Linked DNA regions of Drosophila melanogaster. Changing the gene in region 1 together with any one later gene gives a genetic interaction. Each region holds a gene or a part of one and is shown on either strand. Other genes may lie near its edges. The genes, in order: kug and Sema5c.

What was found.
Region 2: of kug (region 1) and Sema5c, changing one enhances a phenotype caused by changing the other (phenotypic enhancement), as found in Drosophila melanogaster (one study listed by BioGRID).

What each region holds. Positions count from the first base shown.
Region 1 is NT_037436.4:20,004,679-20,009,851, forward strand, and holds the start of kug (kugelei), read left to right. Parts: upstream 1-1,905; 5' UTR 1,906-1,975; intron 1,976-4,121; 5' UTR 4,122-4,147; coding exon 4,148-5,173. UniProt on the Drosophila melanogaster protein: Required for the planar polarity of actin filament orientation at the basal side of ovarian follicle cells. Required for proper egg chamber shape and elongation of the egg chamber during oogenesis.
Region 2 is NT_037436.4:12,078,712-12,083,602, forward strand, and holds the start of Sema5c (semaphorin 5c), read right to left. Parts: upstream 3,120-4,891; 5' UTR 2,641-3,119; coding exon 2,636-2,640; intron 2,248-2,635; coding exon 2,084-2,247; intron 1,330-2,083; coding exon 1,230-1,329; intron 1-1,229. UniProt on the Drosophila melanogaster protein: Regulates the motility of migrating epithelial cells by providing guidance cues within the migratory environment and may also play a role in development of the olfactory system. May act as a positive axonal guidance cue.

The DNA.
Region 1 (5,173 bases):
AGGCTTGAAGGTCCTATAAATGCTGTATGCTGTATTTGCAAGTAAAATCTAGCTTCGCTTGGTATTTTTTTTATCGTAATAATACCGACTTTGTTATTTTACGGTCGAGGGAAATTTACATGAAAATCCCACCAGATGGCGCGTTTGATAAAATCGATTTTATCGCAGGAATGCCGTATTAAATTGCCCAAGTTTCTATAAAATATAAATATATTTTGATAAATAGTAATAATAATACATAATAGAAAAAAAAAAAATAAAACATAAAAATCTGCAGAAGGCAACAAATTGCATCTAACAGTGAAGTGGAGCATTTTCCTAGCCTCACAAAATATTTAGCAATAACAAATACATTTGTCTAAAACATGTAACAAGTCAGACATATGCATGTTCTCCGCAATAAAGCTGGGATATTTTTACCAGAGAGGGTCAAAGGACTCAATAACAGAAGGGGAAATAGGGGTGCTCCATGCTCAAGCTGGTCCGGATGAGCTCGAAGTTGCTGTTGGAGGTTGCAGCTGGAGGTTGCAAGCGCAGGACATGGCCCAACTCGTTAGGACCTCGAAACGAAAAGTCGAATCAGTTGAATTTCTGTTCTCATTGACTGCGGTTTAAGTTGCTTTAAATCGCAGTAAACGGTGTGCGTCGTCGGTAGCAATTGAATGAGAAGGGAAAGTATGTTTCAATCGAAAGTCGCGTTGTTCCGTTAATATGACTCGAGCTTAGGCGACGATACGCGAGTCGATAAATGTATCTGCGCCCATACGCATTTCCAGTGCAAGTGATGTTTATCTGTAAAATGCAGAAATATGTACGTATTCGTGTTGTGTGCCACAAATACGTCCGAGTTGACCAATAGTCCACGATAATATTGCTTTACATATAAGTGTAACAGTGAATTGGGGTTGCATAACCCCCTGTGGTGATACAGATAATGAGAAACCAAATATATCCAACCAAAAATCAGTGGAATAAACCACAACATACACCTCCGCACAGGAAACTTCTGCGATGGTCTGGGCTACATTTCTTGAATTGCGAAGCCATTGCAATGAGGATTATGGGAAACCAAAGGGTTCCATTCCTTGTATACGTCCTAGTGATTTGTGATATTTTTAGGGGGCATCAACCTTAATTGACACCCAAATATATTGCCAGGGATCCATGTTTTTAATGAAAACTATAGCATTTAAATAAAGCTGTTTCCAAATTTTGATACAGTTTAAAGACTTTTTTCACATATCAGTTTGATATGTTCCTTTAGAAGAAACCAAAGCAACAACAATATTGTAGGCGAACCAAATAAATAGGACTTCATTTTAATTAGTTAAGTGCTTTCTTTAAAATTGCACTCGACAAAAACCAAAATATTATTTTTTATAATATCTCCATATTACAAATTTTGTTGTTATCTTAAATGCAGCCCTTTAAAACGTAAGATAAAGAGTTATTCGTGAAGGAAATTATTTTGTTTCAGAATTTATTTTTATTGGCGAACATACAAATAATTTAAACATTTAATTAGTCTTGACAATTGGTTTTGACCACTTGTTGAAAGGTTATTAAAGCGATTTTTTTGTATTGTTCGAAAATTTTGTATTTATTAGACAAAGGCCTCGCTTAAATTCGTGTCAATTCGCGCTTAGCAGTATAATCGATCTGGAAATTATCGGCTACGCACTATCGGTGCTGTCATCGAGTCTCGCAATATTCGATTCTTGCAATCGATTTTAGCATTTTCAAGAGAGAGCAATAGCGGGCGGAGTTATCGGCGATCGTAGTTAGTGGTGCATATGTACATGCAGCTGCCAATTAATGTGAGTGTGTAATCCGCGTCTAGAGTTCCGGAAATCAGAGATGAATGAAAATACAAACCGATGAAAGTGATCGCCCCCGAAGTTACCGAGCAACCAGCGAAAACACCGAATATTAGATAGTTCCAGACAAGTTGTGGGATCCACTCTAAATTACAAAGGTATACACACATATGTACCTGAGTGCGTTTGTATGTGGACCAAACATTTTCCAAAAAGATATATCAACCGAGAATTGTGCATTTCTGTGTTTTAAGCCAATAAAATACCCAGTGCCAGGTGCACGAAGTTTATCACGGCGATTCGGAGTGATGTGTGTGCGTGTGTTTGTTTACTTACCTTATCGGAAAATTAGGCCCACGAAAAAGAGACACATGTTATCTTTGTACACCGATGTGCTATGTACATATGCATCGCCTATGTATGTATGTAAATGCTGCACTGCTATGTAAAAATTGGAGTTAGTGCTCGTAATGGTGTGACTTTGTGGACTGATTTTTGGAGTGAGAATCCAGAAAAGCTAAGAAGAGTTCTCAGACATTGCTTCTGAATAAACATTAAAGTTGAAAGCACTCAGTGATTCACATGGCCTGTGCTCGCTAACCCGTTTCGACTTCTTTTCATGCCTTATACATATGTACATACATATGTGTGTATTAGGGTCTTATTACTCATATTTACCTACGCGCCGCACCAATTTCGCAACCTTCACGTTTTCATGAATCGAAAAGTCGAAAATCTCGTAATTTCCACTCCCAACATCCCAACAAGTGGCTCCCTCAGTCAAGTGATTATGCTGATCTGCTGTGCTAGTGAAAATTCATTTTAAAAGTGTTACCTTCACGGTTCTTTAAATTTGTAAACAATAAATTTGAGACTTGAAAGCGACGTGTTATGAAAAATATTTCAAACACTTCTTTTATTCAGTTTTATAGGAAAAATGAAGCTTTACTTTTCACACGATTGGTTTATTAGTTTTTCTTATCTGGCAAAGGTGTCAAGTAAGAGGGCTTTGTGTCGTACAACCTAACTACATGGATATCAAGATATGGAGAAATTCCCGTTCCTTGTGATTATTTACAATTTGAAGACCATCCAGAATGTAGGGCATCATTACATTATAATTCGTTTGGAATTCGAGTAATTTATGGTGGCATTGGTAGGCTGTGTCTAAAATATTACTAATGAATAAAGTTCAAAGATAACACAAGTGCAAAATGAGAATTTCATGACATACACCCGTTTATCTTCAGCAGTTTTTTTTAAATGTTCTAAACGGTTATTGTCATATCATTCTATTACATTGAATTCTATTCGTGTTTCCTTAAAAGTGAATAAGCCTTAAAGATAGAAAATGTTTTGTTTTTGGAAGCAAAGTGAATTACATTAATCACGCATTTTCGAGCCAACTAATTATAGAAACTACTATAAATGACATCAGAAGTGTGGCTGATAAGCTGGTCGTGCCCCTTTAAAAAAAAAATCTAGGTCAAATCGATTGCGGAAGGCTTCTCTTACAATTTTACTTGACGCCCAATCATCTTTTGGGAAAAATTTAAATTTATGCTTGTGCCATATGAACAAGCAGTTTTTAAGAGTGACATTATTGAAATGTACTTATAATTTTACCTCTTTGTTTATTTATGTTATAATATTTACAATTTGCTTCATTTGTGCACAATTCTTAAGCCTTAAATCAGGTACATTGCAAAAGTTGTTAAGCTTAAACACTTATTGTCAGATTGAAAGGAAGGTGAACAGTGGCGCAAATTTGCCAAAATTAGAAGCTGAACAGTTCACTTAATAGACGACTATTGTTGCTGGTAGATATAATCGGTTAGACAAAATGGAGCACTTTAAATCAATTATGTAGAAGAAAGATTGCAAATTCCACCAAACGTAGAGATGCCCATCTCGTCCGCCGTTTGAAATGCTTTCCCATCATTGGAGCATTTCCACATTTTATGCGAATTATATGTATTATGTAAATGTATTATGTACCATAAAAAATGGTTAAAACTGGACGTGTTAAATAGCCGAATATTTGATTTCGCCTCGCAATGAGTGATTTACATTACATTGTGTTGTGCCTATCTGATTAACAATTTGTTTAATTACGAACATTAAAAAATTAAGATATTTCCTCGTAGGTCGTTAATATTTAAATCCCTAATTCTAAATTGAGCTTAAACCAATGTCTTCGGATGGGATTACCGAATTCGGCTTTGAGAAAACACTACTATAATTAAACGATGTTCAAAATAAACACTGCCTAACAAAATGATTACCATTCCGTTTACGTTGCAGGATATTATGTGAAATAAGAGCAGTATATGTTTACTATGAAGATTAAAAAATATGTAACTCCTGTAAAAAGAAAAGCTTTCACCATACTCCAATGGATTTCACTACTGTGTAGTCTATGGTTGATCCCCACTGTACAAAGCAAGGCCGATGAGAAGCACACGGCGACCCTGGAGTATAGACTAGAGAACCAACTGCAAGATCTATATAGGTTTAGCCATAGTGTATATAATGTTACCATACCAGAAAATAGTCTGGGCAAGACTTACGCCAAGGGAGTATTGCATGAAAGACTGGCCGGCCTGAGAGTTGGCTTGAACGCAGAGGTTAAGTATAGGATAATTAGTGGCGATAAGGAGAAGCTATTTAAGGCCGAGGAGAAACTGGTCGGAGATTTTGCCTTCTTAGCGATTCGAACGCGGACAAATAACGTTGTGCTAAACAGAGAAAAAACTGAGGAATACGTTATAAGAGTGAAGGCACATGTACATTTGCACGACCGAAATGTATCAAGCTATGAAACGGAGGCGAATATCCACATCAAAGTACTGGATCGCAATGACCTGAGTCCGCTGTTTTATCCGACCCAGTACACCGTTGTTATTCCGGAGGACACGCCCAAATATCAAAGTATTTTAAAGGTCACAGCTGACGATGCTGACCTCGGCATCAATGGGGAAATCTACTACAGCCTCCTGATGGATAGTGAATACTTTGCTATCCATCCAACAACTGGCGAAATTACTCTCCTGCAGCAGCTTCAGTATGCGGAGAACTCGCACTTCGAGCTCACGGTGGTGGCCTACGATCGGGGATCATGGGTGAACCATCAGAACCACCAGGCCAGCAAGACGAAGGTTAGTATTTCGGTGAAACAGGTTAACTTTTACGCTCCAGAGATTTTCACGAAAACCTTCTCGAGCGTGACGCCAACATCAAACCCTTTGATTTATGGAATTGTACGAGTAAACGACAAAGACACTGGGATAAATGGCAACATAGGGCGATTGGAAATCGTCGATGGAAATCCGGATGGCACGTTTCTTCTGAAGGCG
Region 2 (4,891 bases), 7.9 Mb from region 1:
TTATGTGGTTAATAAAGCCCACTTGCCTATCTGGCCGCCTACTTACAGGCAGCACCATAATTCCCTCTATATGGAGCAACTGCCCTTCGCTACAAACGGTTTTCTTTTTTTTTTTTTTTAATATCGGGCTCTTATCATTATGCCATAATTCAGAGGTTGGTAAATAAGAGAGCAACAAAAAATATGGCAGAGTGGAGTTATGGTCGAAGTGAAAATCGTAGGCAATAAAGAATAGAAAAGGCAACTAAAACTGAAACTGAAAAGTATGACAAATGATTGACGACAAGGGAACATGATAAACGACTTCCCTTCCCGGGCAGCAATGGGTTAAGGTGGGTTTATCAACATGACGACACTATAGACACATGCGTCCATGTGTGTATCTTATCGTGTTTTTTTTTCCGACAGAGGTGGAGTAGTATCGCATCCATATCTATGCGAAGCAGAAACAAACAAACTTCAAGACGCGTAAATGAAAAGTAAACTACAAGAACCGAGTAACCCGGCTAAAGCGACAGATACTTTTGTATCTCGAAACGCGTATATTAAATTGCTCAACAAATAAACGGAGTATACCACTTCTCCCTCGGCGCTGCAATATTATTATTTGGTTACCTTTTCGGTTTTGTTCCCTTTCCCTCTTTTCTTAATTTTTTTATTCTTTTTTTTACACTCAATTATCTTTATTTATTCACTTGCGCACAGCAGGTACTTGAGATAAGTTCTCGACGAGGGGTTTTTTTTGTTTTTGGTCGATCTTGGTTGATATGTAAAAAATCTTTGGTATACCAGTGCGTGCACTTTCATTTTTATACACTTTTGTGTATTTTTTTGTAACTTGCGTAATACGCTAAAAAAACACAGAAGACGAATATAATCAGTACCCGTTTTACGTACGCAATGCATCTGTTTATTTTCTTCTGATCGTCGAATTTTACGTAATGCCTCTCTGCTGATAACCCAAAGTTAACAAATGCTTAAGTGACGATTTATTTTCGGGGGTGTTTTCCCTTTTCATTTCTTATCGCTATCAATGCCCAAAATAATGACCCACTTATCGGTGAGACTAATTAAAAAGCAAGTCCTTCAAACAGTACATATCTTTGGGGTTTTGACGCAACAGGAAAAATAAAAACAGTCATAATGACTAGGTACACGGCTTAGCCGTGACTCAATTGGCCGGAAACAAAATCTATAATAACTAATAACAATAGCCTCCCGGTTTTTACCTGGCGCCGACAATCACTTGGTTCCTGGCCACGTCGAATAGCATTTCCGAATACCAGGTCGTTTCGGGATCGTAAAATCGTTTGGCCGTCGACATTAAATCTGTTAAGAAAATAAAAACATTTTTGTAAGAAAAAGATTGCACAAAATCGTAAAAACAAATACTAAGCAATTTAATTGAAGTTTTATTAGCAATTATATTAGCAATTATTATATAAGCAATTATTATCTCAGCAATTATATTGCAAATTTATTAAAACATTTTGGCATCTTGGCACAATTAAGCTCAATTTTATTTAACCCATATTTTTCAAGGTTTTTAAAAGATTCACTGATTCATTGGTAAAACATATACTTTTCAATATTTAAGTGCGAAATAAAATAAAAAAGCGCTAAACAAAAATTAAAATCATTGTCAACACAACGTTGGGCTGAGTTCGCATTTTAAGACGGACTTCGAGATACATTTCAGTGCAAAAATCACAAAAAAAGAACAAATATTTTAACAAAATGCGAAACTTTTTCTGATTAAAAGCAGCAGATACACGAATGTATTGGGGTGTCATAAAAGCGGTTTGTTGGGGAACTCGGTTAAATCGAGATCATTGTTGACATTCCGTGCAAATACAAACAGTTGGGCAGATGGGTGTATTCGTTGTATTCGAAATGGCACCTGTTCGATCGAACCGAACATTTGTGCAATCGATTGCAGCAGACTCTCGGAATCACTTAGAACTTTGACAGACATCAACCCAATTTACAGTTCCACCGCTTCAAGTGGCCAACTTGATTGATTGCCGTGCAATTGACACAGTTTCGAGTAATTTTTGATAATCCGCCCACCTCGAGAACTCACCTTGATATGAGATGTATCGCGAATCGTTTTCCAGCAAATCCACACTTGATTTTGTCGTATAACCACTGCCCGTCGAAGGCTGTGGGCCTTCTAGGGTTAAGAGCGATAGAATCAGAAGAAGCCACAGTTGGCTAAACATTTTGGGAAGTTTCAGTATTAACATGCTGCAAAAAGAAAAGAAATGAAGTTGTAATGTGTGTTGTGGATATAATATAGTTTTTCATACATTTTTAACTAATTATCGACGTTCAACAAACGCTAACTCAATTTCTTCTTAAATGTTATTTATCCTCTTTTCAACTCAGAAATAACAGTTCTTAAATTTTTTAAATTAAAATTGTCTTCAATAATTCCTTAAACACTAGCTTTTAAATAAGTTTAAATTATATTTCATTTTGAATTATGTTTCACTATTTAACAGAAACCCCTTAATCTGTCCTGAAGATTAGTAATAAGTTTTTGTTGCAGCACTTTACACTTCCTCAAAAAATATTACAAAAATTGTAAACAGCAAAAAACGTCGATTATACAGATGAGATAGTCGAAACTTACTTCATTTAGTGTCACGTTTCGTGCAAAATAAAAGACTAAAATTTATTCCATTCAACTTTTGCGGCGAACAGATTGTAAAAGACTGTTGGTAAATTGTATAATATAGGCATGTGCCTGATAAGCAGGGGAATCGAGCAAGGCGCGTGTTTCTGATTCTTCAGATGATCTGACCGTAACTACGATCACCGTGGTTCACTTTGCACACAACACTCACAATTTTTCAATTTTCCATACGATTTTCGTATTATTTGAAAGAAATTTTCAGAAGAAAGGCGGATTGGCTCCCCCTCAAGTGGAGTTGGGTTAAAAACATTGACAAAAGACACAGATAGACACCAACAACACGGTCGACGAATATAGCGAGACGGGTTTTTACTTCTGCCTCGATTTCCTACTCTTATGATTATTCAGATACGAGTTATACGGACGCGCATGCCCGACCGATCGGCGAAGTTGACCGCGCAAAGAGTCGCAAGAAACTGAACCCACCATGGATTCGGATTCGGATCCATAGTCAGTCGATAGAGAGAGAAGAGAGTGAGACAGAGAAGCGAATGGAACGAAAACAAAAACGTGAAAACGAAGCACGAACGCAAAACAAAAAAAAAACGCCGAGGCAAACAAGAGAGAACAGGCTAAAACGCCGACGAAGATAACCGGCTCAATTTCGGCTTGAAGAATGCACTCGGAAAAAATGTGCAATACAACAAGGAAAAAAATATTTAAAATTCGCTTTCCTTTGATTCAAAATTTAAAAACGAAAATATATTTTACATAATTTATTCAAGAAATATTTTTCAGAATTATGTGTATTCGTTTTTAATGATTTTCTGCTAGTATCTTAAATGTTAAAGACTTTTCAAGCCTTAATTCATAAAATTTATAAGTACACAGAAGTGTAGCATAGTTTTGAGGTCCTTACCTATGAAATAATCCAATGAATTAAAAACTATATATAATATAATTCAACTGTAAAAATAAAAATAAAAAATAATAATAAAATAATTAAAAGACCTTATTTTCATCTTTGTAATTTATTATTTTAACTGAACTGTTTGTTAAATCGAATAATTTAAGGGCAAGTCTCTTAGATAGTAATAGCAATCCAAATTTATTTTTCAAGTCATCCCACAAAAGTAAGTACGAATTTCTCTCAGTGTCTGCTTGGGAGTTAAGAGGCGCGGCTACGGCAGCCGAAGCAGCAACTGGGCAGGGCGCTCATATATCATGCGACAACGACAACGAGAACGACTCTTCAGAATCAGAATCTGAATCTCCGGGATCGGGATCGGGATGTGCAGCTCCGCGAAGAGGTATAGAGAAGCCACTTGGAGGGTGGGACGGGCACTTGCTGTGCTTCGATTTGGTAGCCTGACAAATTGACATTAGTATTGCCGACGTCGCGGTTCGAGGACACGTGATATATTCCTCCAGACGAGGGATCAACAGATCCTATCTTTTCCGCCTTGCGACGTTTTTGCCCATCAGCAAAGATACTCGATTAGCAAATCATAGAAATGGCGCCAAAACAAATGATTTAATAGATTTTCTCATTCTATACAGATAGATAGTATAGTATATTTTTGATACAAAAGGAATGATTTATCACTTATTTAATTATTTCTTTATCATAATGAAGTATAAACGGTGTTTTAATGCTTTGTACAACAGTTTACAGTACCTGAATCACTCATCTCAAGTCCAACACCATAAAGTTCTTATTTAAGGAACAACAACAGATATGACGCATTTTCACGGGATTAGTTTTGCTCATTCACCTGGTGGGGCTTTGTTCTATTTTTTTAGTGTTCCTTCCAAGGTTTTCCTTTTACTGCAGACATCCCAGGCTGTACTATTCAGATCTTTGTCAGCCTTGACTCCCAGAGTAAGTGTGAAAACACAGCTGGTCGCTGAGAACAAATACGAAACCATCAAATGGACCGTCCCGAAGGTGCAGTAACCTCAACTTGAATGCAACTGCAACACGATCCTCGGATTTTGTTTATGCCACAGCACGAACCCAAGGGATACACAAACATGAGGACCGATGCCATCCGTCCAATCCGTTTCAATTCGATCCGGGAGTTAAAGTTGAGTGTGGGCAGACAACGATCGACATTAGCATAGGCCCAAAACATTGCCAGCCCATGACAATTTACGGCTACCTAAACCATTGTCGACGCGGCCTGCGTTTCTTGTCTTGGCCGAAAAGACACAGTGGCCAAATATGCTAATTTTGTTGGTAGTGATACCGAT